7 linked regions of the Cricetulus griseus genome follow. The protein of the gene in region 1 interacts with the protein of each later gene in a pairwise test. Links are inferred from orthologs where the notes say so. Each region holds a gene or a part of one and is shown on either strand. Other genes may lie near its edges.

Region 1 (4,523 bases):
GAAGGCAGAGGCAAAAGGATCTCTGAGTTTGAGGCCAGCCTGGTCTGCAGAGCAAGTTCCAGGACAATCAGGGCTACACATAGAAACTCTGTCTTAGAAAACAAAATAAATAACCCCTAAAATGTTAGCATACTTTTTCTTCAAGTCAAAATTTCTAAAAGTAGCACTATTTCACACTCTTGCATATTGCTTTACTGTGTAGCTCAATTAAAAAGACTTGTTTTGGGCCAGGTGGTGGTGGCACTTGGGAGGCAGAAGCAGGCAAAGTGAATTCCAGGACAGGCTCCAAAGCTACAAAGAAATCTTGTCTTGAAAACAAAACAAAACAAAACAAAAGTTTGTCAGGTATTGTGATGCACATCTTTCACTCCAGCACTCAGAGGACAGAAGCAAGCAGACCTCTGTGAGTTCCAGGCCAGCCTGAACTACAGAATGAGTTCCAGGGCAGCCAAGGTTACATAGTAAGACCCTATCTCAAAAACAAAAGAAAATCCCAGCACTTGGGAGGCAGAGGCCAGCCTGGTCTACAGAGCAGAGTTCCAGAACAACCTCCAAAGCAATACAGAGAAACCCTGGGGGGGGGGGGGGGGAACAACACGGGACAAAAAAAAAAATAAACAAATCACACATGGACTAGCCAGGTATGGCATAACTCTAATCCTCCCTACTCTGCAACGATAAGTGAGGGAGGAGTATTTATTCCGAGTTCAAAGACACCTTGTGCTACAGAATGAAGTTCAAGAACAACCTAGGCAACATAGTGAGACTAAGTATAAGAGATTCGGATCTAGCTCAGTGGTATAGTGCTTGTCTGGCATGTACACATGTGAGCCCTAAGTTCAGTGCCCAGTAACAAGTACTACACCCTAGTGTGGCTTCACAGATCCCCTGAAAACAGCCTGTGTCCTAGGTTCTCTTTTCCTTTCTCCATAATCTTTTTTTTTTTTTAATAGTTTTTCAAGACAGGGTTTCTCTGTGTAGCTTTAGAGCCTTTCTCCATATTCTTAAATGATGTGAGTTCAAACTAGAGCAAAAATAATTTTAAAATTTCTAACTGTATGTTGCCCTTCATCAGGCTGACATGCCTTCTAGTTCCTTCTAAAATAAAAGACTGATGAAACTAAGCATTTACAGCTCATCTTTCCTCCCTTACTCGGAACTATCTGGAGAGATATTCATAAACGAATTTCTATCCAGATTAAACAGAATTAATCCAGATTATTTATAAACAAATCTACCCCACAATTAATCTACATTATGGATAGGCTACAAAAATAGAACCATATTATCCAGGTGGTGGGGAAGCATGCCTTTGATCCCAGCACTCAGGAAGCAAAGGCTGGGAATCTCTGAGTTTGAGGCCAGCCTGGTCTACAGAGCAGTTCCAGGTTAGCCAAGGCTACACAGAGAATCCTGTATCGAAAAACAATTAAATAAATAAATAAATAAATAAATAAGATTAAATTAAAAGAAAACAGTTCAACTACACTGTGGTGCTGAATGAAAAGTTTACTGAATAATTATCATTATAGACAAACGTCAAAAAAAATTTGAAAATTCAGTCCTCTAAGCAAACAAAAGGAAAAACAGATAAAAATCCTATGTATTAAAACTAGCCACAAACGTGGTAAACAAAAATGGGATGAAGGAAATTAAGGTGGCAGTATTCCTAATTTGAATGCCAATACCATGCAAATTCTTAACATTAATACGGAGACACAGCATTTTACTATTAATTGGCAGCTTTCTGTAAACATTCTGCAGCTGTAAATATTCAGTTTTTCTATTTTCCTCAAAAATATCACCTGGAAGAGGGTGATATGGAGGTGCATATAACCAAGATACGTCGTTTACGTGTATAAAATTGACTATGTTAAAAAAAAGTGCCATTTTTGAAAATGTAACAATCATAAGCAGGCTAATGCCCAGATGAAATAAATGGCTTGTTGGTGGTGGTACTCTAACCTAGTTTCGTTTGTTTCTCGGTTATTCTGAACTCTCCTACAACTAGAGAGTTGATGGACCAATCCCGAGTAAGAAATGGAAAGTACAGAAAAAGAGCCGACCGATCCGCACCCCCCAGATGGAAAAAAAAAAAAAAAAAAAAGACGCAGAAGGGAGCAGAGGCGGACAGGCCCTCCCGGCAAACACAACGGAAAGCAGCGTCTTCTGGGTCCCAGGAACCTCAGGCCAGGCTTCCTCTCCGCCCCCCACTCCGAGACCAAGAACCCAAAGTGGAGTGGAGCAGCTTTTCGGGGCTACCTACCCTCCCAGTCAGGGATTCCCTCCCGTTACATAACTAGGCCTGGGGCCCTGTTTCTGCCATCGGTCCTCTGAAGGGAAACGGTCGATTTCTCTTAGGTTGCTCTCGGGGACAGAGGAGCGGGCCTGGGCCCCCGGCGGACCCGCGAGAAACCTGGGAGCCGTCGAGAGAGCCGCGGCGCGGGGCAGCGGGAGGGGGGCGCGGGGAAGGCGGCGGAGGGCGGGTGTTCCCCGGAGCCCCGCGGTCCCGGGCGGCTGGGCCCGACTCGGCCGGGCGCTCCGCGTCCCTCGCGGCCCCCTCCCCAGCAGCAGCCCCCTCCCCCAGCTGCGTCCCCTCCCCCGCGCCGCGGTCCCCGGGCCCAGCCAGCGGCCGACAGCTCTGAGCCCCGATGCCCTGGCCCAGTACCTGGTCAGACATGGTGATGGTGGCTTCGCCCGGGGGTCTCCGCACCACAGCGGCCTCCGGCAGGCAGAACCTCACTCTGAGGTTTACAAATCTGTCTCTTCCCCACAGCACAACACCGCGGCTGCAGGGACTTCCGCTACGTATTGCGTCACTTCCGCTGCGCGCAAAGGAGACTTTGGGAAGACGGGAAAAGGAGGCGGGAAAACGCCTTGGGGAAAGGCCTTGGGGCGTCTGACCTGTAAAATTGCTTGCCCGGAGCAAGAGAACGACTGTGTGTTCTGCCGCTGGGAGACCCGGCCGGCTGCCTCAGCCCCCTAGGGAGACCAGGGCATCGCCACCAGGCTGAATGTTTGGGGTCAAACCGACATCCTAGACTCCTCCCTCTCGGACACCTTGCGCGCTTCTCCGAGCTAAACCAAGTTCTTTTGTCTGCTCCCAACCTTACTAACCGTCCCTAAATATAGGGAATCGCCGGTATAATATTTTTATTACCTTCTCTTGTTTGCTGCCAGCACACTCATGACCTTGATTTAGGACCACAACGAAAAGACGACCCCTTAGAACACATATTTTTTGTTTTTATTTTTGTTTTTTGAGCAACCCTGGCCGCTCTAGAACTATGTAGATCAGCCTGGCCTCGAACTCACATAGAGTCTCCTACCTCTGCCCCCAGCTCTAGGACAGTTTTAAGAGCTGTAGATGACTAAAATGTTGAAAGTTTTTAAGTTTGAAGTTATAGGCAGAAGGAGCTACCTCCAACCTATTAACTATTTGCCTTTCGTCACAGAAAGACCTAAAATTCTTTGACTACCACGACCTTCTTGCACAGGCATTAAGTGTGGATTACGGATATATAAGTAAAAAGAGTAAAATTGAAAAAATAATTGTTGTGTGTGTTTTTCCGATACAGAGTTTCTCTGTGTAGCTTTGGAGCCTGTCCTGGAACTCTGTAGACTATTCTAGACTCTGCTGCGTTAGAGGCATGTGCCACCACGCCCCCCAACCCCCGGCAAAAATGAAAATTCTAAATAAATCAATAACCTTTCACAGTATAAGACGTTAGTAAAAGAATCTTTTCGGACTGGAGAGATGGCTCAGAGGTTAAGAGCACTGACTGCTCTTCCAGAAGTCCTGAGTTCAATTCCCAGCAACCACATGGTGGCTCACCATCCCTTATGAGATCTGGTGCCCTCTTCTGGTGTGCAGATATACATGGAAGCAGAATGTTGTATACATAATAAATAAAATCTATTAAAAAAAAAAGAATCTTTTCTTAGGGGCTGGAGAGATGGCTCAGGGTTTAAGAGCACTGACTGTTCTTCCAGAGGTTCTGAGTTCAATTCCCAGCAACCACATGGTGGCTCATAACCATCTGTATTGTGATATGGTGCCCTCTTCTGGCATGCACTGTATACATGATAAATAAATAAATCTTTTAAAAAATCTAGGAAGTCTTTATTTAAAAAAAAAAAAAGAATCTTTTCTATAGTTAGTAATGAGGCGACTAGAGATGGCCCAGCGGCCAAGGAGCACTGGTTGTTCTTCCAGAGAACTCGGGTTTGATTCCCAACACCCACATACTCATTCACACCTAACCTGTAACTCCAGTCCCAGAGTACCCAATGCCTTTTTCTAGCTTTGTCAGCACCAGGCCAGGCCTCCATATACGGCATAAACATGCATGCAGATGAAAACACCCACCCATACACGTTTAAGCATTTAAAAATTAAAAATAGCAATATAATTGGTAATGAGACTACTGGAAGTTCACATGCAAAAGAAAGAATTTGAATCCCTATCTCACTGCATATACAAAATTAAAATGTTTCAAAGGTGTCTTAGGGTTTCTTTTTAT
Region 2 (3,922 bases), on another chromosome or scaffold:
CGTGAGTGCAGAAGGGAAACTACTGTGGCATAAAAGGGCAGTGTGACGTGAGGGAGGGGCTGTTCTAAGGAAGGCAGTGCAGAGCAGGGACCAACACAGGGAGGGCACTCAGCTTCAGCTGTCACCCCACTCTGCCGTTTGACCTTGACCTAATGCATCTGTCTCCTTCCTTTACAGAGAAGCGTGAGGAACGCCGAGGCCCAGTGTCACATCTCCTAGAGGAATTGTCTCCCCAAGAGTGCTGGTCACCACCCTCCCCCTGGACTCTACCTCAAGGACCCACTTCAAACCAAGCCTGACCCAGGCACCCGCCTCCTGCTCTGGGGGCCCTGAGGTCAAGAACTGTACATTTGTGTCTCACAGACACATCTCTGAGCCCCACATAAAGCTGCTCGGAAACATGGCTATTGGTCCATAGTGGATGAGGGTGGGAGAAGGGACGCATGGGCACCCACGGGGCGGGGATGCTTGCACAGTCTACTCTGTAAACTGGCAGCACGGCTGGATTTGCCAAGCCACTCCTCTCCTCGGGTCCTGGGCTCTGCCCAGCCTCTCCAAGCTCGGAGGTCATTTTTAGACTTTTAGTGTATTTACAAGAGTTCACGGCTCCAGCTAGAGACCCCATTGTTCTGTGCTTGCCCCTATCTTAGACAGTTCAGCTGTGTTTGTCCAGGCAGGGAGCAAAGGGAAGCCGAGTTTCCCTTAGTGTGATATAATTGATACAAATATTGCTTACCTACTGTGAAAAAGGCCCAGGAACCAACTGGGGAGGTCCCGAGGAGCCTTGCTTGAGTCCTGTGCATCCCCAAGTGGGCATGAGATATAGTGTCCCTTTCCTCTACAATCACCTGTTCTGGCTTTTGGCACCCTTAGCCTGCTGGGAGCAGGCAGATGGCACATATTGCTGCCCCGCACAAGTAGTTGGCTCTGGGGCGTTCCTCGTTAGCTGAGAAAAGCTATGTACACCAAGTGGCGTAGCACCAAGGAAGCGGCCGCTAGCTCGGCTCTGCCCCTTTCAATGCCCTTCCCTCCTTTTCGTCCAAAGAGGAGGCCCAAAGGGCATCAGAGCTTCTTCTTGCCAGGACTGTCCTGAAGTCCCTCCCTAGAGGCGGGGTGTGGCCTCACCGCGGGAGGCAGGGCGCAGACGAGGAGGCGGAGCTTCCGAGCGCCTCCTGGATGTTCTCCAGGCAGCCCCGCAGGTTCATGTCGCAAAGCACCTGGCCCAGTACGTCCAGCGTGGCCTCGTGGCGAGGTGTGCGCCGCCGCCAGGCTTCCAGCATGCTGTACTGGGCCTCGCGCATGCAGCGCCCGTTCTGCAGCTCCAGCCGCTCGATCTCGTGCTCACTCAGCCCCAGGAGCCGCATGAACTCCTTCCAGCGCGAGGGAGGCACGCCATCCACCACCGCATATAGCGTCGCGGGGTCTGCAGCTGGGGACAAGGACCGTGTGCCTTCAGCGGCAGCCCTGCCGTCTTGGCCTCCGCCCTGCCCGACTCCTTGCAGGAGTAGAGTCCCCATCGCTGCTGGGAGCCCAAACTCACCGTCAGGTCGCTGCGGGTGGGCACAGTCCTCCCATTTCTTAACAGGGGTGGGGATCGGCAAGGTGTGGGACGCGAAGGGGAGGGATGCGTTGAGAACAGGGTCAGCTCCCTGAGTTGGGTCCACCTCCCTTAGAGGTGGCACGACCCTGAAGTTGGGCCAGTTACTAGGGTCGAAGGGGAGGCCCGGGGTGATGGGTGTGTTGGAGACAGGACTGAAGCCTGGGGTGGAGCAGAAGCCCAGAGTGGGGTTGAAGCCAGGGGTAGGGCTGAAGGTTGGGGCTGGGGCGGGGGCTGGAGTTAGGGGCTTAGTAACAACGCTTTCCACCTGAAAGAGAGAAGGCAGCATATTAGTGGGGGAAGAAAAAGAGCCCCTCCGGGCTTTTGATTCCTTATGGGGGTGGAGGTAGAGGAACTAAGGGAGCCCACCACCCCAGTCCAAGTAATCTGGGTATCAGGAGTTTGAAAGTTGAAGTTGGAGTTTCCCTCTCACCTCTTTGTCAGGTGCTGAAAAAAAAAAAAAAAAAAAAGAAAGAAAGCATCATGAATTTCACTTCCCTCTCAACACCAGCACCCTGGCCTTGGGGACTTGTGGTGTCATGCCTCAGGGTCTATGTGGCCCCAGGGACAAGAGAATTACTGATACAGTATGGCTTCCCTCCTGTCATCCAGGATCTTAGCCATGAACAAAGGGGCCACGCCTCATCTCCCGCCATCTTCCCACACCTCCCACACCTCCACCAACACACCCCACACTCACTGATGGAGTAGACCTTGGGCTTGGGCTTCCACCGCGGGTACTGGCACATTAAACTGATGAAGATGAAGGATAAAAGGCAAAGCCCGAGGAAGATAACCAGGGGCAATAACACTGGGGTACCTGCAGAGTAGCAGAGAGGATGCTCAGTATGAGGTAGCAGCAGAGACTGGGGAGGGCAGAGGGCAGGCTAGGGAGTCAGGCAGCCAGCCGGTGAGCCCGTGAGCAAGCTCACCAGGCCACTCCTCCTCACCTGGGTCCTGGGGGTCTGTGACATTTCCAGTTGGAGGTAGGCACAACTTGAAACAATCCTGATTTTTTTTGCAGCTGGAAGGAGAGGCAATACTGGTGAATAGCAAGACTGTGGGAGCTCTTTGCTCTGCCATCATTTTTGCTATCTCTTAGTACAGTGGAACCCGACTAGAGAACTGATGCAGAAGAATGAAACAGTTCCCCACGCAACCACTTCATTTTACAAGTTGAAGAGATCTTGCTAAGACTGTATTGACAGCAAGGAGTTCCGGTAGTGTGTGCGTGCAATCTCAGCACTTGGGAGGCAGGGGCAAGAGGATCAATTCAAGGCTATCCTTAGCCACATACCGAGGTCAGGGTCAGCCTGGGCAACAGGAGAGACCCTGCTGAGAAAGAATGGAGAGAGGAAAGGAAGGAGAGAGGAAGGGAACAGGCAAGTAGGCTGTGTGTAGAGAAGTCTAAAGTAGTCACAGTCCCACACAGCAGTTCACAACCATCTGTAACTCCGATCCCAGTGGACCTGATGCTCTCTTTTGGCCTCTGAGAGTGCCAGGCATGTACATGGTACACATATATACATGCTGGCAAAACGCTCATACACATAAAATAAAAATAAATATTTTAAAAGTATTTTTTTAAATGCCAGCCGTGGTGACACATGCAGCACTCAGGAGACTGAGGCAGGCAGGTCTCTGTGTGTGCTCCATGGTAGAGGCATGACACACATCATGCAAGAGCCTGGATTCCACAGTCAATCAACAGTTAAAAAAAAAAAAATGAAAAGGCAGTGATGGTCAGAGTATAAATTCCATTCCAGTCACTGACTAATGACGTAACACAAACAAACCATTTTCACTTTTGTGGCCCACAGACAGGGAGATCATACCACCTCTTACTTTTGGGGATTAAGAGTCAAGTACTTCTCCCTGAATGGTGAGCACTTAGTAGGTGGCAGCTGTCAGTGAACTGAGTTTATCGTTGTGTTTGCTGGTGGGACTGTAGCACAGAGAGACCTACAGTTTGGATCTGGAGCGTCCTGTCAGGGTCCATGTGGTGAAGGCTGGATCCTCAGTATTTTGGGACCTGAGGACTGGTTGCTTGCCTTTGACCCCACTCCACACCCTTTCTGCCTCTCAGCTGCTATGAGATGAGCAGCCTTGCCCCACTGTGTGCTCTGATCACCAAGCTCAACCTCAGCCCAGGCTCCAAAGCCTCAAGGCCGAACACTGTGAGCTGAAGGAAGCCATGATAAAAGAAACTTTTCTTTGCTTCAAGCTGATTAAGCCTCGGGCCCAGAAAGATGACTCATATACAAAGTTGAAGGACTTATCTCTGATGACACCAGCCACTTACAGCACTTGACTTTGGAGATGACA
Region 3 (4,475 bases), about 310 Mb from region 1:
GTTGCTTTGGAGGTTGTCCTGGAACTAGCTCTTGTAGACAGAGATCCGCCTGCCTCTGCCTCCCGAGTGCTGGGGTTTAAGGTGTGTGCCACCACCGCCTGGCAACCAGCACTCATTTGAAAGAGGACAAAAAAAGTTATGTGAAGGGATATAATTCATGTGCTTGATGAACAGTAAGAACTCAACATAGCAGCATAAGTTATGGAAAAGTTTGATTTTGATAGTGACCATCATCAATAACTGATAGGTTTCCAAAAATAGTCAATAGTAATAAATAACAATTATATACCTAATGTATCTAAGCAAAGTGGTTAATAACATTCACAAGTAGATGTAGACAAACAAGAACAATGGCTGTTAAAAGCCATCTGGGTTCTATTTGTAAGTCTGAGTAATCAATTCTAAAAGTTATAGGACATAAGTGACCAAACTTAATTCTTATTTTGAGGGGTGGTTTCAAGACAGGGTTTCTCTGTGTACCCCTTGTTGTCCTGGAACTTACTCTAAGCTACACTGGCCTCGAACTCAGGGACTAGCCTGCCTGTCTCCCAAGCGCTGGGATTGAAGGCTGGAGCTAGATTTCAAATATCAGTATAAAAATAATTTATCCGAACCAGGCACCCTGGAATACCCTGCATTCCCAGCACACTGGAAGAGGAAGGCAAGAGTAGTCAGAAAATCAAGGTCATCCTCTGCTACAAAAGAACTCCAGGACAGTCTTGGCTACAAGAGTCCCTGCCCCAAAATGGGGCATTAGGGGTTTGCTTGAGAACTATTCCCCGTGAAAGCCACTCACTCCAGATAAGATGATTGAGTGCGCCAACTGCGGCTTTTCCTTTTGCATTTCATGTACTAAAAATCCAAACCCTCAATTCCTCCCAAACAACAATCTCTACCTATTAGTAGCTTAAATCTTAAGCACCTGTTTCTCTGTTTCTTAATCTAGAAACTTACCCACCAAAAAACGCTTTCCAGTTTCAGTCTTAAATCCCTGTGCTTACTTCTTCACTGCCCCTCTCCAGTCTACAAATCAGAATTACCAGCCCAGAAGGAAAGCTGCACTAACTAGATGTGTGATGAAGTTGCAAGGCACACAAACCCTGCCCGCCCACATGTTTAATACTGCACAACTTCACTGTCTTAGTGGTTTCCTTGCCCTGAAAACGGCTGGCATGGATGGAAAGACAGACACACGACATACATTACATAACAAGGATCAACTGAAATGCTACTCCCATTTCACAGACTGGGTCCAGGGGCTGAGGACTCGCCAAGGTCACACTTCCTAGCAGGGGCCGCAGTTCTGCTGGGACACACTGCACTTTCCAGTATTCATTCAAGCTCGCGCTCCTCGGGCGGCGCTGTGTGACACTCCCCTCCTTCGCCCACCGCCACCGATCCACAGGTGCCCCCGTGTCGTAGCGACATCGCGACCCCGGCCTTCGGAGGCCCGTTCCCGGTCCCGCCAAACCGGACTCACCTCCGAGGACGCGGGGGCAGGCCCGGCCGGGCCGCTGGAGGCCAGCTCCCGTCGGTTCAGTAAGCTCGGCCGGTGGCGGCAGGATCCGCGAAGGCGTACCCGGCGGCTTCGGCGCCTCCCCTCTTCAGCAGGCGCCAGAGGGGGCGCTTCTCCCTCCTCGCGAGACAGCGGAGACCCCGGCGGCGGCGGCTGCGACCCCTGTGACGTAGAACGCTCATCACCAAAGGCAGTTTGGGGGCGGAGAGAAGGCGAGGCCCATCCTTCCACCCCCTCCGAGCCCGCCCAGCAAACGGCGGCCCCACCCCCCACGTTCCGGGCGCGTGCGCCGTGGAAGGAGCCCGCAGGGGGCGGAGCCTAGGGCAGACGCCAGACCCTGCCCAGCCCCCCACCACGGGGGGCGCGTGTTTGGGGGTGGGGGCGGAAAGGCACGAACTCATCGCTGCCAAATAACGCGGAAAAACCGAAACCCCACGAACTTCGACGAGTTCCTGTAATCCTCTCGAGTGTAACAAGAATCGGACCGAGTCCCACAGAGCCTTCGTCCCCATGTCTTCTTTAGCTGGGATGAACACCAGGCGTCGAGCACTTCCCCAGCCATCGCCTGTCTCCTAGCGGCCTGCTTCCCCTTCCCGCCCCTGCAATCCAGACTAAAACCGTGTCTGACATCCGCGCCCGAAGCCGCGCAGTCCGGGCTCCGCCAGCCAGGGCTCCTGGGCGGACGTCGCCAGCATCCTCAGGCCGAGCTGCCCGCCTGCCAAACTGCTCTCCTTGGGACTTGGTATTTCACATTTGCTGAGGTCCTAGACTCGATTAAACATCCCGTCGACACTTGCTGAGTGGCAGGTCCACCATGCGGGTAACACATTTTTAAAAATGCCACATATCTAAAAACATTCCCAGTAGTAAGCGACAGCATTCTTACTAGACGTTCTCGATGAATGGCCGAACTAACAGTTTACAACGATTCTCCAGTTACATAAGGGAGTGGATGATACTGTTCGTGCCAAGCATACACATATAATCGTTTATCCACATCTTGTGGAAACGGACGCGGGTATGGGACGGCAACTTTAATTCTAACAGCCTATTTTCAAATAAACTCACATGCACACGATGGCACACTATTCTGCGCTATAAGGCACTGCGACTGGAGGAAAAGGGGACTGAGGAATGTCCATCTAAGCGCAAAAAAAGCGCGATTTTAAAATTTTTTATTTCCTCCGCTGCCTGAAAGGCGGGCTAGGCCCGGATCACGTGACGCGCCCCAACTTCGGGCGGAAGCGCGCCGGGAACCGCGGAAAGATGGCTGCTGCAGCGGGGCGGACGGCTTCGGGGAGCGAGCTCTAGGTCCGCGCCACCCCACCCCTGCTGATCCCTTACCATGAGGCCCGTGAGTCGCCGCACCCTGGACTGGATTTACTCCGCGGTAGGTAGCGAGGACGATGGAACTCCCAGGCGCCGCACCCCTCTGCCCGCGAGGCAAAGGCCGACTGTTCGTCTACAGCTCGGAACTCCAAAACCCATTCCTATATTGAGCGTTTACGCCCCGCCCCCGACTCCGCCTCTTCCTGGAGGACACGCTTTTCCGCCCCTGACGTCATGGCTATCGGGCCCTGGCCTCAGGCCTGGGTCCTAGTGCCTGACAGGCTGCTCCCACCTGTAGCTAGCTGGTAACCTGGCCTGAGCAGGCCAACTACCCAGCACATTGATTTTTCTTTTCGCCTTTCCTCCCCTCTTTTAGTTGCTACTTGTGATCGTTTTGCTCTCCTGGGGATTCGTCATCTACGCATCAACTGTAGCTGCACGACGACAGCTACAGAAGGCTTTTCCAGACAAATTCTTTGAAATGAACGAACTTTGGTAGTTCCCAGCAAAACCTGGTTTTGTCCCTCAAATGGCACCTATGTAGACTTAAAAGTAAAATTCACAATACAAAATTGTGTATGGTCTTTTGTGATACGCGTTAGCATGCTAATTTTTCATATGGATCAAACAGCCCTTTCTTTCTGTATCAGGTTATAGATTTTTTGTTTGTTTGTTTTTTGTTTTTCGAGACAGGGTTTCTCTGTGTAGCTTTGGAGTCTATCCTGGAACCGGCTCTTGTAGACCAAGCTGGTCTCAAACTCACAGAGATCCGCCTGCCTCTGCCTCCTGAGTGCTTGGACTAAAGGCGTGTGCCACCACTACAGGGCCAGATCATAGATTTTCATTCTAGTGCTTCAAACACTTCATAACCTCATGCCACATCAGTATGTAAACAAACCTATCACGTGATTAAAACGTGTTTTGCATCCTGTTTATCAAAACGGACAGGAAAAAAGTAGCTGATGGCTCTTTAGTATTTGTCTTTTTTACTGTCGGTCTCAAGAAATATTAACAACACTCTGAGAATAAGCTTTATTAGTTACTTTTCCAGGAAACAGATTCAGTAAATACGAACTATATGAAGAGACTTTTGCTGTTACACAAGTCTTTTAAGTTTTAAGTGCTCTTTAATGATGTTGATCAGGAAAATCTTTCATTGGCGGAATTACTTCTCCAGTCTCCAGAATTGTATCACCCTAGGAAAACAAGTAAATGTTTAGTAAACTGTAAAATGTTTCAACATCTATTTAACACAATAAATTACTGTAAGCATACTTTACATTTTGTTAACTCACAATTAAGCCAGGCATGGTAGTGCATACACGTTTAATCCTAGTACTCTAAAGGCAGAGGCAGGTGGATCTCTAAATTTGAAGCCAGCCTGGTCTATACAGCAAGTTCCAGAACAAATAAGACTACATAGAGAGACCCTATCTCAAATAAACAAACTTTCAAAATTATTTTCCATTTTACTTAAAACATTTAAATTTGGGGGCTGGAAAGATGGTTCAGTGGTTAAAAACACTGCTGCTCTTCCGGAGGACCTGGGTTCAATTCCCAGCACCCACATGGCAGCTCACGGCTGACTCTAACTCCTGTTCCAGGGGACCAGACACCCTCATACAGACAT
Region 4 (3,725 bases), about 290 Mb from region 1:
TCATCCAAAATAGCTTAGGTAAAGGTCTGACATTGTACAATTAATATAACTTAGAATGAAAAGTCACTAGGAGATTCTTTATAGATAATTACATGATATTTAAAAGTTACAATGTCCAATGTAATTAAGGATATAACTAAAAATATGAATATAGTTTGTTAAATTATGTTCTATTAGAAATAAAGACTTATAAGCAGCATCTGGGGAGATGGTTCCATTTGCAGCATAAATGAAGACCTAAATTCAATCTCACAACCCATGTAAAGAGCTAGGCGTTATGGGACACATTTGTAATCCCAGGGCAGTGGAGGCAGAGACAGGCAGATCCCTGGGGGCTCACAGGCCAGTCTGCCAAATAGGCAAGTCCAGATCAGCAAGAAGCCATATCTCAAAACACAAGGTAGATGGTACCTACGAAATGACACCTGAAATTGTCCTTGTGTCCATATACACAGATGCGCACACGCTCAAGAGCACCCTTGTGCGTGCACATGTGCACTCAAGGCGCAATAATTAACACACACACACACACCAAGAGGACTAAAAAACTGATAAGAGTTAGATGCTCTTGAAAAGCTCCAGGTGTCACTTTCAGATGGATCTAAACTGAAGCTCCTCATGGAAGTGAGATCTGAGAGGAACTGAGATATACCACTGATTTCTCCTCAACTTCCTTGGCCATTAACATCCTTCACATTGCTTATGCTGTGAGATTCAAGTCAAAGGAATGGTTCTTTCCAACAAATACACTTTTAGTATCCACACATCTTTGTGAGTAGAGAAGCATAAATTTAGCATGAATATTGTGGAATTAGATCTTTTGTTGAAGCCTGGAAATAGCTGGTTCAATGTGAAAGTGAGGATTAAGTGAAAAAAAAACTTGGTGAGGTTAGAAAAGCTTGTACAAAGCCCTGGATTCAATCCCTAGCATAAAAAAGTGTGTGTGTGTGTGTGTGTGTGTGTGTGTGTGTGTGTGTGTGTGTGTGTATCTGTAAACATACAGTATATGTACATTTATTTATTTATCTATTTGCTTGTTTATTTGGGGTTTTTTGAAATAGGGTTTCTCTATGTAGCTTTGGAGGCTGTCCTGGAACTCACTCTGTAGACCAGCTTGGCCACAAACTCAGAGATTCACCTGCCTCTGCCTCCCGAGTGCTGGGATTCATGAAACAACAACACCCAGCTCATGCACATATATTTATATCAGAGGTACATCTTAGGTTTAGAGAAAAGAGCTTTCAACCTAAAAGCTGACAATCCATAATCTGTATCTAACACTGCCTCTTACTAGCCATATAGTTGGGAAAGCAAAGTTCTGTTCTTATCATTGTCCATAAAATGAAACTGGTAGTTTCCCTACCTAACTTGCAGGGTTTTTGTGAGGAACAGTGAAATAATATCCATAAAAAGACTAAATTAAATGGATAATGTGGGGGTAGAGGCTACTTAAGGTCCTTGCTCCTAAATGTCTACTTCTCAGCAGGACAAGGAGCACAAGGCTCCACCAAGAACCACTGTGGAAAAATGCACATATTTAGTACAAGTTGCTTTTCCTACCAGCTAACATTTATAGTGCAGATTCTTCTCAAAACAGCTAATTGTTATCAGTTATTTTCCTACCTCATTCCCATCACACACTCATAGAGAAAGATGATTCCCTCTTTCTGAAATGATCGGAGATGACGGACAAGATGAGGATCTACCACCACATCCACAAGAGGGAAGCAGTTCCTATTGAACAGCCACTGGTGATTCTTGTCCGGCCGAGGCATAACTAGAGAATCTGAAAAATAAGATCAGCAACAATATTATCTCATTTCCATTACTTCTACACCACAACAGCTTGTCATCGTTTATGGTGGTGGTAGTGGTGGTGGTGGTGGTGGTGGTGGTGGTGGTGTGTGTATGTGTGTGTGTGTGTGGACTAGGGATGGACACACACCTATAATCCTATAATTCTAGCACTCTACTAATTCGGCAAACACAGCACCCCACATTTTGGAGAACAAAGAGCCACTTCCACTTGAAGGCATGGGGCAGAATTTGACAAGATACACTTGCCAGTGTTTATAGATTCTCAGTGGTCGCCAGGAATAAAGGGACCAGCTCCCCATTTCGGCAGCCATAACAGCCAAACACATGCTTGTCTGACCTTGTCTTAGTCACTAAGAGGTCAGATGCCTGCCTCGTGGCAAGGAACCAATCAGAAGTTAGCTGGTGGTGCTATGCTTTATGGCTCTGGGTGTGCTTTACAGACAAGTGCACAGCAATGGCGCAGAGCATAGCAACCACCCTGGGAGGGCCTATGGGCCATAACAACCAGTTGGCCAATCAACACAGGGCAAGCCCTCCAAGCTTGGAGGCACACCAATCCTGAGCCTGTGCGTACCCCTAGACACTCCCCTTACGCCGCCCTATAAGATCTCTATGCAGATGCTTCGAGCTGTCTTTTCTAGCCATCCGCCATGGCGGGTGAATGAAAGACACGAGCTAACCCCAATGTTAGCTCGTTACAAAACTATAATAAAGCCTCATACAGTTTGCATCAAGATTTCAAATCCGCTTGGTGATTGGGGTGACCACGGTCCTGGGCCGAGATCCTGGGGCCTGAGCTTCTGGGGATCTTACAGTTGCTGGGACTTGGAAATCAGGACCTCTGTAAAAACAGCCAGTGCTCTTAAACATGGGGCTGGAGAGATGTCAGAGTACCATACACATAATAAATAATTTTTTTTTGGTTTTTATGAGACAGGGTTTCTCTGTGAAATAGCCCTAGCTGTCCATAGTCTGGGCTGGCCTCAAACTCAGAGATCCGCCAGCCTCTGCCTCCAAAGTGCTGGAATTAAAGGTGTTTACTGCCACTGTCACCACTGCCACCACCACCACCACCACCCTGCCCCAGGTGGTGGGGCAAAAAAAAAAAAAAATATTTTGCAAAAAATAGTATGTAATCACACTGTAATTTTTATATTGCTTGAAAGATTTCACTGGGGTATATGAGCTGTAAGGAAAAGAATAAAGACAGAGAAGAGAGACATCAGGAAAGACACAGAAGGGAAACATCAGGATAGAAGAACAGAACAGAAAAAGAATAGAGTAGAACAAGGACAGAAAGAATAATAAAGAAAAAAGTCTGTGTGTCTTTCCTGACAACTTTGCATCTATTCCCAGTCCCTCTGACCTGCAGAATGCAGGACCCTCTGTAGTCATTGAGGACACAGCAACTCCAGACTACTTTTAATGTGGAGACCCCAGCCAATCCCTACCACAGGAGTATGGGTCCTCTTCTCCAATCAGATGATGAATAGAGAGAATTCTGTGGTCTCTCACAGGAAGGAACTACATTCCTTCCTCAACAGCAAGAAGTGGTTATAAGTTGTATCATTAAACTTCAGTTCCCCAAAAAGCGCTCAGGGAGGAGCTAGAATGGCCAGGGTAGAGAGTGAGGTCAGGAGGACTTATCCAAAGCTACAAAATTAGCATGTGAGGTAAGCCTCCTGGCAAAAAAGAAGGGTGGAATCCCCAGGCACAAATCAACAAGAACTGGCAGGACCCACTGGCAAAGAACGCCAGAACTGAGAGGATAACCTTTGGCTCAGTGAAAACTACATGCAATAAAATGCATTCCTGAGGAAGCTCAAAGTATGCAAATGGGCCAAAAAGCCTGTGACACTTGAATATAAAAACATTGGTCCTTTGTGCAGCATTTGCCATAGGGCTTC
Region 5 (4,200 bases), about 320 Mb from region 1:
AAAGATGAGTTCTTTCCTTTTTTATTTAATAGGTAAATTAATTCTAAAAGAAGTCAAAGGAATTATGCTTCCTTCAAAATCCTCAGTGGATCCATCCTGAGGATCCAGTGTGGACTTAAGATAAAACCTAATTCCAGGGCCGCACAGAAAAAAAATTAAAGAGCTAAATTACAGAGTTACAAATTTGTACTACTCTTGGAGCCATCCCAAAGGAAAGGGATTAAGAATAGAGCCATAGGCACACCTGTGAATGTATGCCAAAAATAAACTACGGAGCCATAATAAAAACTGACTTCTTTGGGTCTAAGGATTTATCTCTTTCCATGAAATGTAGAAAAATGAATTTAACAATTTAGCCCCTATGGCTGTTAAGAGGATTTTGTACCTCTGTACTTGAAAATTGTGTTCTGGCATAACATGCTCTCTTCTATTTATGTAGTTCATGGATGCCAGGTTTAAGGTTTGCCTCAAGCTGTTTTGTTTTGTTACAACCTTAATTATATCAATTCACTTAATTTTCTAAAAGTATACTCAGATATGAATGTAATGTATATATGCATATATCTATATACACATCCCTTGACTCAGAAGGGTTTCATAGCTTCTGTTCATTTTGACTCCCAGCATACTTTACTAGGTAACATGACATGTTTATTATGACAAACACTTAAATCTAGAAGGTACCTGCTGGATTACTTCACACAGCCCCCTTTATATACATATGAAGACACAGATCCTAGGACATGATGAGACCTACTCAAGGCTGGACAGTTAGTTAAGACACAGCCAGGATGATTCACATGTTCTTGACTCTACGGCAAGTATCACTAAAATTTTAAAACACAAATTTTAAAATAAATAAATTCAAATAAACATTCCATTATGTGCACTGGTTCTAACACCTAAATTTATCTGACATATCCATTTACTTCCCACAGGAATAAAACTTGAAAGATATTTTAATTAGGAGAAGGAGACATTTAAACATAAATTTATTATCTAAGAAACTCCTCAACTGGTACTCAAAAAAACTTTATCAAAGCCCCGTGTGGTGGTGCACAGGGGCACAAAGTAATCCTAGCATTTGGGAGATGGAGGCAGAAAGATGGGGAGTTCAAGGTTGGCTACTTAGTAAATTTCAAGTCAGCTTGGACTACAAGAGATCTTGTCTCAACCACTCTGTACCCCATCCCCAAAAGGTAAATAAAAGACTTTATCAAAGCCCTATGACTACTGAAGACTAATCATATTTTAAAATCTGAAATATCAAAAGTGGGAATAAGGCTTATCTAAAGAAATAACATTAAACACTCATTGTAGTAAAAAGGGGTAGGGGCAGATTAAGTCACTGGATTTCTTTAAGCTAGACAAAGGTTACATTTTCAAAATTTACTAAGATGGTAAAGTCAATAGTTCTCCTTAGAAGTTTATCTATGGTCATTCTGGACAGTTTGCTCTTAATTTCCTTCCAAAGTATTTCTTCCTTCTGGATGCCATAGGCCATCTTAGGTAGATTTAAATCCATGATTTGGTTTCACTCATATTGTGGTGCTGGGGATTGTATCCAGGGTTATGGGCATTCTAAGCCAGTGCTCTACCTGAAGCTGGGCACCTGCTCCACAACTGGATTTTTAAATCCAGAGTTATCAATGAACAATCTGATTAATACATAGTTTATTCTCAACTTAGGTTTATGAATTACAACTTTTAGTATGCTACTGGAAATGACAAAAGATACAAAATCACAGGAGTTAAAATTTTTGTCCATCTTTCAAATGTTACTATCACTTTCCAACTAAACGAGGTAAAGAATCCAAATATGTTACAGCCATGTCTCCGTAGAAGAAAAGTATGCTAAATTTACTTAGGCTTACTTCCAAGCACTCTTGGGACCCTATCTGGAAACAATACCTTTCCCTATTAGCTGTTGTCCTTTTCCCATGCACTGTTAACCTTGTAGCTATTATTCAATTTTCATCCCTAATTCTTCCTCAGTTCCTTACCCATCTTCTGATTGCCTTGAATGACAATACTAAACTGTCCCCAAATCGTAACACTGTCTTAAATATACACGCTTCAATTTAAGGTTCAAATGTTCAAAACGAAGGCAAGAGCTTTTTAAAGCAGCTTCGTCATTAAATTAAGGATGGCTTTATACTTGGGAAATACAGGCTCAGAGAAAACGGGCGAAAAATTTCCTTCATTCAACCCTGAAATCCCGGTAAACTCTGGCCTAAAGGTATTTTGAGCGTCAGCTGGAACTCAGGCCTGACAACTCCCCACCATGGTTTTCCCACTGTTAAAGGCAGCTCTCGCCTAAAGTTGACTACAACTGTCTCCTGTTGGGGTGTGAGAGTAAAGGGTTATCTTGGGAAAGATACTCTGCGTATACTGGTTATATAGAGGAATGGGGCACAGTTCCCAGATTCTTTGTGGTCCACACCAGCAGCGGCTACTTGACAGCACAAGCTTAGGGCGGCCCGGGACTGGGCGCACCCTGGAGCGCCAGGCTCCCCGCGACGAAAGGAGGCCTCCACGTTTACAGACTGACCCGCTTCCCCAGGACAGAGGAACCACGGGAAGCGGCGGGGAAAAGCAGACAGAAAAGAAGTGCCCGCGAAGGCCATCGTCACCCTGCCTTTCCTAGGCCCGGGTCTCAGGCCAGGGAGCCGCGAAAGCCCAGCTCCGCCGCTGAGCCGCGTGGGGCAGCGCGCAGCTGAGAGGCCATTAGCTGCGCAGCGCTGCGCCACGCAGGACGGGGAGGAGAAGGCCAGGGAGGGGCACACATTAGTTCCACAGCCCCGCGGGCGAGGCGGAGGCGGGGCAGGGGTCCCCGGTCGCGGACCGCTCGGGGTCCGTCACACACATACTCACTGCCGCGGCTGCGACCAGGAAGCACCAACCAGGAACCGAAACACGTAGAGGAACGGGGAGGGGCGAAGACAAATGAGGTAAGGAAGCAGTATCCGCGCGGACTCCAGAGGTGAGGAGGCACTTCCGGGGAAAACTCAGCTCTGAGGAGCTGTCCTTCCGCCCAACCCGCGAGTCCTCCTAGCGCATGCGTAGTAACTATTAACCCTTTGTGTCTCCGCCTGTAAACTTCAAGTTTGGCTCTGTTCCTTTTTCTGCATGCTTTCTTTCGAAAAATATCTCGGGTGAAAAAAAATTATGGTGCATATTTTAACTTACTGAGTTAGGCGGAAGAGATGATCCTTGCAGGGCAAAAGTGTGAACTCACTTTCGAAGGACAGGAAAAAAACTACAATTCCCACGATACCTTGGACGGGTCGACAGGGGCCGCCTCTTTCCTCGCGCTGGGTGACGCCCTGGTAGTAGCACGTGGCCGCAGAGCAGGTTTGGGACACTTTCGGGTTGAGGTCTCGGTCAGTAGAAGATTCAGGCTTGGTAGGTGACTTCGGAGAGGGATCCTGGGAACGCCACCGTGGGAAAAGGCTTTTTAGAGAGGGTCTGGCTTTTGTTTTTGTCGTCCGCTCCCCCACTCCATGTGACAGGTGACTTGAGGGCTTTTCTACCCTAAGGCTGTAAAGGGCATGCTGTGGTGCTTCCGCCTTTTTAACCCTTTGTGAACCTTGAAGAGTTGCACTTCTGCAAGGTGGCGTCAGTGGTGTTCCTTCTGGATACTACTACGAGACCATGTTAGCCGCTTCCAGCACTGATTCCCCTGGCCACACATTTAAAACATGTTTAATTATGGGGCGGGAGATGTAGTTCATTTGGTAGAGTGTTTGCCTACCGTGCTGGAGGCCCTGGGTTCATTCCTTAACGCCACTTATACCTATGTAGTGATAAGCTTGTAACCCTAGCATTCAGGAGGCAGGAAAATATAAATAAAAGAGTTCAAGTTCATCCTTGGCTACCGAAAGCATTCAAAGACAGTCTGAGCTTTCCCAATCAAAATGAAACAAAACCCGACGTCGACAACAACAAAAAACAAACAAACAAAAAACAGTAAATCCATGGGCGGTGGGGCACACGCCTTTAATCCCAGGCAGAGGCAGGTGGATCTCTGTGAGTTTAAGGCCAGCCTGGTCTACTATACCACACCCTACCCCACTCCCCAAAAAATCTATGTAGCCCTACAAATAACCAATTGGTTAGGTACTGACATCTCTGATAGATGAGTGTGACTGTAAATCTTTTTGCTAACTTTCATTGAATATATTAAGAGCCAAAGCTGTC
Region 6 (4,276 bases), on another chromosome or scaffold:
GCAGAACACTCGGCGTGTCTACTTTGTAATTATTCCGATACAAGAAGCATCATTTTCCCCTATAAACCACATTTCAAAGGGCCATTGTGTTGTAAAGAAAATGAAAACAAACCCAGCCAACCTGGCTCTGATTTGGCTCAATACCCCATCTGCTAAGCTACATGAAAATTTCAGAATCGACTCCTTCTGGCAACAAGTGGTACAAGCTAGCTTAAGCCCACATCGCGTTTATTCACGCTGCTTAGGAAAGGAGGGCGTGGACTTACAATATATGTCTCTAGTTTCTGTTTTAGAAATGACAGCGCATTTCAGTTTTCCAGCCATCTTTTTCTTCTAAAGTTAATGCTAACAGGCATTGCTGGTAACGTCAAGCCTGGTGGCTCAGCATGGTCTTCTAATTTCCCAAGTTATGTATAAGTATTGCTAGCCAAAGAAATGAAAGACTCAGGCATAATTCCAGTGTCCATATTTCAAAAATTTATTTATCTCAAACTGTGCATAATGGAGTAAAAACTTAAGTTGAAAATGTAGCTGTTATAAGGATGGTGGTATTAGTTCAAATATATACATGGATTCTCGGCAGCCTGATTCCAATAACAGAGCCGAATCTTTTAAAATACAACTACGGAAAATAAAAGGGGAAAAAAACTTAAAATATCACAATAAATTTACAGAAATATTACAAACCATAAGAAAATATTCCAAACACAGTAATTCCATATTCTTTTATCTGAACAAAATGGAAAGGTGGGACTGAACAAAAGCTTTTATAAATTACCAACGATATCAACCTGCATGGACATTTTTTTTTTTTGCCTTTAACAGTAAGTTAAAAATTTAGTACAATCTAGAACATTTGCCCTTTTTAAACAAGACCAAGAAAATAGTCTTGCCAGTATTTGCTCTCAAGTTTTCCTTTTGTACAATTTTAAAACTAAAATGTTCAAATCCGAATAAATTTCTTTCTTCCTTGTTTGTAACGGTCCTAAATTTAAGCTGCAGAATCAAAACCCAGCAAGAACCCTTTCCTCGAAAAATATTGGCAAATTCTCAGCTTATAAACAATGGACATTTGATTGCCATGTTTATCTCGATAAATACTGTACAAAAGTTGCTTGCAAATATTAAAACTTTTTTTTCCGTCGCTCGGAGTCTAGCTCTAAATATTACTGGTAAAGACTTTTGCAAACTCCCTGCGAAGCGCCTAACATACCACTAGAACTTTTAAAAAAAAAAGTTTTGCGTAGTTTCTTTCTCCAGATCTATACATGGTCCGATTACCCCTCCCTCCCGGCCGCCCTCAGGTTTTCTCTGTACAAAAATAGTCCCCCAAAAAGAAGTCCCAAAATCTCTCATAAAAGTTTTCTAGTCGGCAACACGGTTTTTGCGTTAATTTGGATGGGATTGGTGGTCTTTTCCGCAGCTGTCATTTGACTGCGGGTAATGAGATTTTTTTTCTTTCTTTGAGCATGTCAGATTTTTCTTACTCTCCTCTTTTGCACCCCTCCCAATTCCCTTGTTTCTCTTTGAAAATCTCTCCCTTTCTCAGTTCGCGCTCCGGCCCTCACATGTGCGACAGGGGGAGTGTGCCGTTAATGGCCGTGCCGGGCACCGGGCCGCTCTGGTAGTGCTGGGCCATGTGCAGTCTACTGGGAGCAGCGGGCTCCGGCACCTCGGCGCCGGGGAGGTACATGCTGATCATGTCCCGGAGGTCCCCGGCCTGGCAGGGCGCCCTGGAGTGGGAGGAAGAGGTAACCACGGGGGGGCTGGAGCTGGCCTCGGACTTGACCACCGAGCCCATGGAACCCAGCGCCATACCGGGGGTGCCCTGCTGCGAGTAGGACATGCTGTAGGTGGGCGAGCCGTTCATGTAGGTCTGAGAGCTGGTCATGGAGTTGTACTGCAGGGCGCTGACGTCGTAGCGGTGCATGGGCTGCATCTGCGCCGCGCCGTGCGCGTTGAGGCCCGGGTGTTGCGGGTAGCCCAGCTGCTCCTGCATCATGCTGTAGCTGCCATTGCTCCAGCCGTTCATGTGCGCGTAGCTGTCCATGCGCTGGTTCACACCAGCGCCCAGGCCGGCGCCCACCCCAACCCCGCTCGCCATGCTGTTCCCGCCCGGGGCCAGCAGCCCTCCGGGAAGCGTGTACTTATCCTTCTTCATGAGCGTCTTGGTTTTCCGCCGCGGCCGGTATTTATAATCCGGGTGCTCCTTCATGTGCAGAGCGCGCAGCCGCTTGGCCTCGTCGATGAACGGCCGCTTCTCGGTCTCCGACAAAAGTTTCCACTCGGCGCCAAGGCGCTTGCTGATCTCCGAGTTGTGCATCTTGGGGTTCTCCTGGGCCATCTTACGCCGCTGCCCCCGGGACCACACCATGAAGGCGTTCATGGGCCTCTTGACGCGGTCCGGGCTGTTCTTCTGGTTGCCGCCGGTCGGTGCCGCCGTGGCGTTGCCTCCTCCGCCGCCGCCCCCCGAAGCTTGCTGCGGGCCCGGCGGCTTCAGCTCCGTCTCCATCATGTTATACATGCGGGCGCTGGGCGCGGGCGCGGCCCGCCGGCGGCCGCCGACCCTCGGCCCGGCCGGGACTGCGGGGGCCGCGCGCGGGGGCCGGGCTGCAGGGGCCGCGGGCGGGGGTGTCGGCGTGCACGGCCTGCGCGGAGATCGGGCGGAGAATAGTTGGGGGGAAGCGGAGCTCGAGACGGGCGAAGTGCAATTGGGATGAAAAAACAGACGCTCTCCTCCTCGGGCCGCCGCGATTGTTGTGATTAGTTTTTGGAAAGGCTTAAGCCTCGGGCTCCAAACTTCTCTCCTTTCTTTCTCCTCTTCTTTCTCCCAGCCCTAGTCTTAAAGAGGCAGCAAAGTACTTTTCCCTTTTTGCAAACACTCTCTTCTCTGCCTTGACAACTCCTGATACTTTTTTGAACAAGTTAATAGACAACCATCCATGTGATGGGGGCTGTCAGGGAATAAATGGGTTTCCGGCGGCCAATCAGCAAGCGCCGGCTCCTGCGCCGGAGCCCAGCCTCGCCAGAGGGTTTTGCATGAAAGGGGGCGGGGCCTGCCGCGCCGCCGAGCCGAGCCCAGCAGAGCGCTGTGCCCAGAGCCGCGCGGGGGAGGCGGGCCCGCAGCCTGCAGCCGGCCGCGGGGGAACCTTTGTATCCCCCTTCCTCAGCAACAGGTCACGGCGCACGCCTGTTCGAAGGAAGTGGGTAAACAGCACCAAGACGACAGCTCCTTCCCCCCTTGCTACGGAATATTGGCTCCCTCTTGGGTACATAAGGGAGGATGGGGCGCGGGGAGCTGGGGCCAGGGTGGGGCAGGGCCCATGGGTGGTTCAGGGCGACCGTCCAACTAGTATTTCAGGAAGCTGGCAGGGCCGGAGGTGGTGTGCCATTGTTCCTCCGCTCATCCGAGGCACTGCTCTCGGTTCCAGCCCCTCTTCCTACCTTGGTGCCAACACCCCCTAACCCCCTCATCTCACAGTACAGACAAGAAGTTAGACCCAAGCCTCGGGCCCCAGTGCCCTCCTGACTTCCACGTCATCTGCTTGGTTCCCAAACAAAAGTCCTCTGCCTTTTTGGCCCACTGAAGAGCAGAGCTAGGGACAGGCCTTGTTCACAGTCTTCTAGCCTGACTCAGGTGTGGTTTAAGGAACCGCAGCACGTGTCCTCAACCCTAACTCCCTCCTCCACCAGTCTGTCCCATCCAGAGGGTGCAAAGGCAAAGCTTGAACTCTCCTCCCACTCTCTTTCTAACCCCCACCCCCCGACACAGGAGGATTTCAGTGGTGGCAGTTTCAGATGAGAGCCTGGGGACGAAAGAATCAACAGAAAGAGACTCCAGAGTGCAGCGATGGGGGGAGGGTCACGCAACTTCCTGGCATCCTACCGTGAGGCACAGAGGTGGCATTTGGGCTGTGCTCACAAACTCCCTCCCACGCAGCGTTCCCAGGATGGGAGCTGCGCTGCCGGCATTGCCCCTGCTGACTGGCACGGTGGTAGCCGTGAAGGCCCGGCCGAGTTGGTTTAGGGAAGCACTGGGGCCTGGGAGGCGCGCGGGGTTCAGAGGTACAGGTGCAAGCCAAGTGTGTAGGGATAAGGCCTGCGGAACCCCGGGAGCCGGGCCCCAGCAATCCCAGGCTGCTGGAGGATGATGGGCCGGGGCGGGGGTAGGGGCTCAAGAATCTTGCCCGCCCAAGACCCGAGAGGGTAATTTTAGCCGATCTCCCATTGTCCATACGTAAAGATTTCAATCGGCAGGCGCTCAAAAAGCCCAGAG
Region 7 (4,203 bases), on another chromosome or scaffold:
TTTCTTTAGCCCCAAGGCTTTGAACTACTACTACTACTTTTTTTTTTTTTTTTGGTTTTTCAGAGACAGGGTTTCTCTGTGTAGCTTTGGAGTCTATCCTGGCACTCACTCTGGAGACCAGGCTGGCCTCGAACTCACAGAGATCTGCCTGCCTCTGCCTCCTAAGTGCTGGGATTAAAGGTGTGCACCACCAATGCCCTAGGGCTTTGAAATTCTAAAGCAGCAGCAACATGTGGATCATAACACCTTTGGCAAACCTTTATCAAAACCATTGTATTTTTTCTTTTTGAGACAGTGTTTCCCTGTATAGCCCTGGCTGTCCTGACACTTTGTAGACATTTGCCTGCCTCTGACTCCTAACTGCTAGGATTAAAGGCATGTGTCACAACCCACCATATTATAGTGTCTAAATTCTTTTAAATGTTTATTTAGTATTATTTAATTGTATGATTTTTTAAAATGTTTATTTAATTTTGTGTGTCTGGTTCCCCCCTACCACATCTCTCCAACAGGGTTTCTCTATATAGTCCAGTCTGGCCTTGAATTCAGAGTTCCCCCTGCCTCTATCTCCTGAGTACAGGGATCAAAGGCATGTGCCACTACACCCAGTCAAATATCCATTCTTAAAAACTAGACAGAGAATTCTACAGTCTGACACTACCCTAACTTTAAAAAGGCACATCTGATGGATACTGGAGAGATGGCTCACAGTTAAGAGCATTTGCTGTTCTTCCAGAGGAAGAGTTCTGATTCCAGCACCCAACTAATCCCACTTGCAAATACCTGGAACTCCAGCTCCAGCGAATCCAACTCTCTCTCTCAAAAATAAAAAAGATAGGGTTAACAAGTACTATATAGGGCCGGGGTTGGTGGCGCACACCTTTAATCCCAGCACTCGGGAGGCAGAGGCAGGTGGATCTCTGTGAGTTCGAGGCCAGCCTGGTCTACAGAGCAAGTGCCAGGATAGGCTCCAAAGCTACACAGAGAAACCCTGTCTCGAAAAACCAAAAAAAAAAAAAAAAAAAAAAGAGGAGGAGGAGGAGGAGGAGGAGGAGGAGGAGGTGGTGGTAGAGAGAAGAGGAAGAAAAATCACAAGGGCTGGAGAGATGGCTCAGTGGCTGCTCTTCCAAGGGACCAGGATTTAAGTCCCCACACTTCCAGTGCAGCTCCCAACCTGCTCTCTAGTTCTAAAGGATTTACTGCCCTCTTCTGGTGTTCTTGAACATTGCACCCGAGCAGCAAAACACCTATACAAATAAAATAAAATATTTTACAAACCAAAAGAACTCAATTTTTTCTCCCTCAATCTTAAAACATTTGCCAGTAATTTTTAGGTATTTAACGTTTATTTTAAAACTTACTTTAAATAGTTACTACTAGTTTAAAAAAAAAACAACAGAAATATCTATTGGAAAGGAGGTCAAAAATATTAAGTGCACAGGATTTTAATGAATTGGTGCTTAGTACTATTTAGGAGTTCTAGAGAAAAAAATGTTAGTGGTACCCACAGGTGGCACTGCCTCTACTATCCGGGCAGAGACCACTCAAGCAGCAACTTGACATAACAGAAGAGAGCAAACCTCATATGGAACAGTGTATCCTAGTAAGTTTAAACAGGAAAGCTATGCAAAATGACTCACGATGGAGATGTTTTCCTTATTTCTGCCAAATGTTTCACCAGATTGGCTTGAAAGTCCTAGAGTACAAGGACAAAACAAAACACCCTTTAGCACCAATAGCAAATGGAGGAGGTAGCATTCAACCCTGAACACCAGAGGAGGAAGTAAACCAAGGCGAAGTCGGTCCCGAGCTTTTCTAGCAACCTTCTCCAAATAAATAGCGATCAACTATTAAAATACTACAGCAGACCAAGATCTATTCTTTCCAGTTTCATTATTACCAGTAGTTCTGCAGAAGGATAAACGCGTCCTCCAGTGCCAGTAAGGGATTCCTATTTCTCCCAAGCCCACCCTGCGTTACCGCCCCACCACCACAACAGTATCAAGAAGGGGGAAGCGGTTCAACAACTGGTCCCAATTGCGGCAAGCACCTGCCCGGGACCTAAGGTTCCTACGCCTCGTAGGCCCGCGATAGGCACCAACCAAGTCAGCCAGGAGAAATTGCCTCACGTAAGAATATAAGCTGCTCAGCTCGGTGGAGAAGAGCAAAAGCGAAAACGCCGCAGGACTCAAGCGGCTCCGTCACCACCGAAAACTTGGGGTCTCGATCGGGCAGATGGGGAAAGCAGCCACCAGGCGGGAGGGCCAACGGGCCCCTCACCCGCCTACAAAACGAGGAAAACACCCCGCGACCTCCCGCGACCTCGGGTAGCCGCCGCCCCGCCCCGCCCTGCGTGCCCCGCCCCCGCCCAGGCGTCCGCCCCACCCAGCCCACCCGCCGCGCTCGCGCACTCCCTCGGGCCGCACGCAAAGACATCCGGGACATGAGCGCGGCCCCCGACGCGCCCCGAGGCCCCGACGCAGCAGCGATGCAGCAGCAATGCAGCAGCGGCGACATCCGCCACCGCGGTCTCAGACCCGGTCGGTGGGAGGCTCCCGACGCTGCCCTCACCCACCTCCGTCTCCTCCTCCCGAGGCTGCGCTGCTCCCAGCCACCCCCACTCTCCGCGGCCCTCGACAGGAAAGACAGCGGGGATAAGCCTCACCCGGTTCTGGCTGCAGCTCCGCGGAACGAACCTCCCCTCCCCCGGCCCACCCCCCTTCGGCGACACGCACAATTCCGCTCGGTCCAGTCCCGGCTTTAGCGCTGGTGAGGAGGAGGCAGAGGAGGCGGCGGCGCGGCGGAGCCCGGGGACGCCCCGCCCTCCGCACGCTCATTGGCTGCTGCCGAAGGCGGCCCGGAATGCCTCGGGCATGTCCATTGGCTCTGCCGGCCTTCTTTCACGACCCTCCTCGGTGAGGTAGTCGCAGCGGCTGTCCGTCAAATGTGGGCCACGCCCTCGGGCCTGCCGTTCCCTCCCCCCTGCCGCCAGCCTCGGGCTTCGCCAGCCCTCCCTCCCTCCCTCTCCCTCCCTCCCCCTCGTGCCCCCGCCCCGCCCCGCCCCCACTCGCCGGGTCCGCCCGGGTCAGGAGCCCGAGTGGCGAGGCCCGCAGTACAGGGCTCGCGGTTCGGGCCTCGGGGCGGGGCATCTTCGTCGAGGCTTCCCGTGGGCCCGGGATCGGGCCACCGGGCCTCGGCCTGCAGACGGTCGCCGCGGTCCCCCGCGACTCTGCCCGAGGAGAGACGCGCGCGGCCTCGATGCCCCAGCGTCCTCCCTGTCCAGACCCCCGCCCCCCTCCCAGGGCCCGGGAGACGGGCGAGCCCCGCGGTGCCTGCGGCGGGCCGAGGGGGCGGGCCGGGCCGTGGCTGCAGGGCACTGGCGCGCTGGCGGCCGCGCGGGCGCTTCCACCTTGCCTCGCCCGTGGGAATGGCCGGCCCCCCACCTCCGCCATGGCTGCGGCGGGAGGAGACGTCGTCCTCCATTTTGTGGGATCTGTTGGGAGAACTTGGTGCCATCAGCACCGGGCCCCGTGGGGCCGGGAAACTTGGCCCGCAGCAGCCCGGACCGCGCTCTACCATCGACCATGCGCTCGGCCGCTGAGGGCGTGCGCGCCTAGGCTGCGGCGGGGCCACACGACGGTGCGGGGCCCAGGTGCAGCCGCCGGAAGCCGCGGGCCCCCTAGCGGGCTCGCGCCCCAGGTCCGGGGCTGTGCGGGCTCGGCCGTCGGTGCCCGGCAGGGCGCGCGCTCCCGGGCCTGCCCGGCGTCTGTCCTCTACGTTGACGGGGCCTCGGGCCACCGCGCGCCCTCCGCTCCTCCTGCCCGCCGTGGCCCCGTGGGCAGCGACCCTCGCCCGGGAGCCCCGCCGGGCGCGTTCGGAGCGGAGCCGCGGGAGGGCGGCACGAGGGTCTTTTGTTCCTCGTCTACACCTACGGATGTCATGGTGCCGGATTTCCAGGACTCCAGTAAAGACCTGAGAGATGCGCCTCGCCCTGGCGGTTGTTAGCGGGATGACAACTGATGCTGTTGAGTTGCATCGAAGCAGTTGGTGATAGACCAAGTTGCTATATTCCATGCGAAAATACCCGATTCTTTTTCTTTTGAGACAGTGTTTATCTAGCACAGACAGCCCTTGAACTCTAGATCCTTTTCCTGCCTCTGGAATAATGGGATTGTAAGCATTTCACGAGTTTTGGTTTTGCCT

The links.
Region 2: the proteins of Sumo1 (region 1) and Tnfrsf1a interact in a two-hybrid assay, tested with the Homo sapiens proteins (2 studies listed by BioGRID). The link is inferred for Cricetulus griseus from reciprocal best matches to the Homo sapiens genes SUMO1 and TNFRSF1A.
Region 3: the proteins of Sumo1 (region 1) and Topors interact in a two-hybrid assay, tested with the Homo sapiens proteins (2 studies listed by BioGRID). The link is inferred for Cricetulus griseus from reciprocal best matches to the Homo sapiens genes SUMO1 and TOPORS.
Region 4: the proteins of Sumo1 (region 1) and Rad54b interact in a two-hybrid assay, tested with the Homo sapiens proteins (2 studies listed by BioGRID and IntAct). The two-hybrid records come from large-scale screens. The link is inferred for Cricetulus griseus from reciprocal best matches to the Homo sapiens genes SUMO1 and RAD54B.
Region 5: the proteins of Sumo1 (region 1) and Zcchc7 interact in binary tests that used the Homo sapiens proteins (3 or more experiments, as listed by UniProt). The link is inferred for Cricetulus griseus from reciprocal best matches to the Homo sapiens genes SUMO1 and ZCCHC7.
Region 6: the proteins of Sumo1 (region 1) and Sox2 interact in binary tests that used the Homo sapiens proteins (3 or more experiments, as listed by UniProt). The two-hybrid records come from large-scale screens. The link is inferred for Cricetulus griseus from reciprocal best matches to the Homo sapiens genes SUMO1 and SOX2.
Region 7: the proteins of Sumo1 (region 1) and Zmym5 interact in binary tests that used the Homo sapiens proteins (3 or more experiments, as listed by UniProt). The link is inferred for Cricetulus griseus from reciprocal best matches to the Homo sapiens genes SUMO1 and ZMYM5.

The regions. Positions count from the first base shown.
Region 1 is NC_048595.1:413,930,870-413,935,392, forward strand, and holds the start of Sumo1 (small ubiquitin-related modifier 1), read right to left. Parts: upstream 2,826-4,523; 5' UTR 2,681-2,825; coding exon 2,669-2,680; intron 1-2,668. UniProt on the Homo sapiens protein: Ubiquitin-like protein that can be covalently attached to proteins as a monomer or a lysine-linked polymer.
Region 2 is NC_048601.1:21,074,866-21,078,787, forward strand, and holds the end of Tnfrsf1a (tumor necrosis factor receptor superfamily member 1A), read right to left. Parts: intron 2,622-3,922; coding exon 2,548-2,621; intron 2,418-2,547; coding exon 2,298-2,417; intron 2,045-2,297; coding exon 2,031-2,044; intron 1,866-2,030; coding exon 1,541-1,865; intron 1,430-1,540; coding exon 1,122-1,429; 3' UTR 568-1,121; downstream 1-567. Other genes in the region: Plekhg6 (pleckstrin homology domain-containing family G member 6), read left to right, coding at 1-1, 178-187.
Region 3 is NC_048595.1:102,286,078-102,290,552, reverse strand, and holds the start of Topors (E3 ubiquitin-protein ligase Topors), read right to left. Parts: upstream 3,019-4,475; 5' UTR 2,907-3,018; coding exon of another isoform or gene 2,864-2,906; coding exon 2,861-2,863; exon of another isoform or gene 2,715-2,860; intron 2,337-2,714; exon of another isoform or gene 1,843-2,336; intron 1,679-1,842; coding exon 1,481-1,678; intron 1-1,480. Other genes in the region: Smim27 (small integral membrane protein 27), read left to right, coding at 2,862-2,906, 3,222-3,344; Ndufb6 (NADH dehydrogenase [ubiquinone] 1 beta subcomplex subunit 6), read right to left, coding at 3,973-4,041. UniProt on the Homo sapiens protein: Functions as an E3 ubiquitin-protein ligase and as an E3 SUMO1-protein ligase. Probable tumor suppressor involved in cell growth, cell proliferation and apoptosis that regulates p53/TP53 stability through ubiquitin-dependent degradation.
Region 4 is NC_048595.1:125,719,816-125,723,540, reverse strand, and holds part of Rad54b (DNA repair and recombination protein RAD54B), read right to left. Parts: intron 1,787-3,725; coding exon 1,624-1,786; intron 1-1,623. UniProt on the Homo sapiens protein: Involved in DNA repair and mitotic recombination. May play an active role in recombination processes in concert with other members of the RAD52 epistasis group.
Region 5 is NC_048595.1:98,697,335-98,701,534, forward strand, and holds the start of Zcchc7 (zinc finger CCHC domain-containing protein 7), read right to left. Parts: upstream 2,990-4,200; 5' UTR 2,871-2,989; intron 1-2,870.
Region 6 is NW_023276806.1:114,823,328-114,827,603, forward strand, and holds the start of Sox2 (transcription factor SOX-2), read right to left. Parts: upstream 2,831-4,276; 5' UTR 2,525-2,830; coding exon 1,565-2,524; 3' UTR 1-1,564. UniProt on the Homo sapiens protein: Transcription factor that forms a trimeric complex with OCT4 on DNA and controls the expression of a number of genes involved in embryonic development such as YES1, FGF4, UTF1 and ZFP206. Binds to the proximal enhancer region of NANOG.
Region 7 is NW_023276807.1:211,871,111-211,875,313, forward strand, and holds the start of Zmym5 (zinc finger MYM-type protein 5), read right to left. Parts: upstream 2,810-4,203; 5' UTR 2,736-2,809; exon of another isoform or gene 2,576-2,735; intron 2,306-2,575; exon of another isoform or gene 2,103-2,305; intron 1,697-2,102; 5' UTR 1,641-1,696; intron 1,248-1,640; exon of another isoform or gene 1,094-1,247; intron 957-1,093; exon of another isoform or gene 784-956; intron 1-783. UniProt on the Homo sapiens protein: Functions as a transcriptional regulator.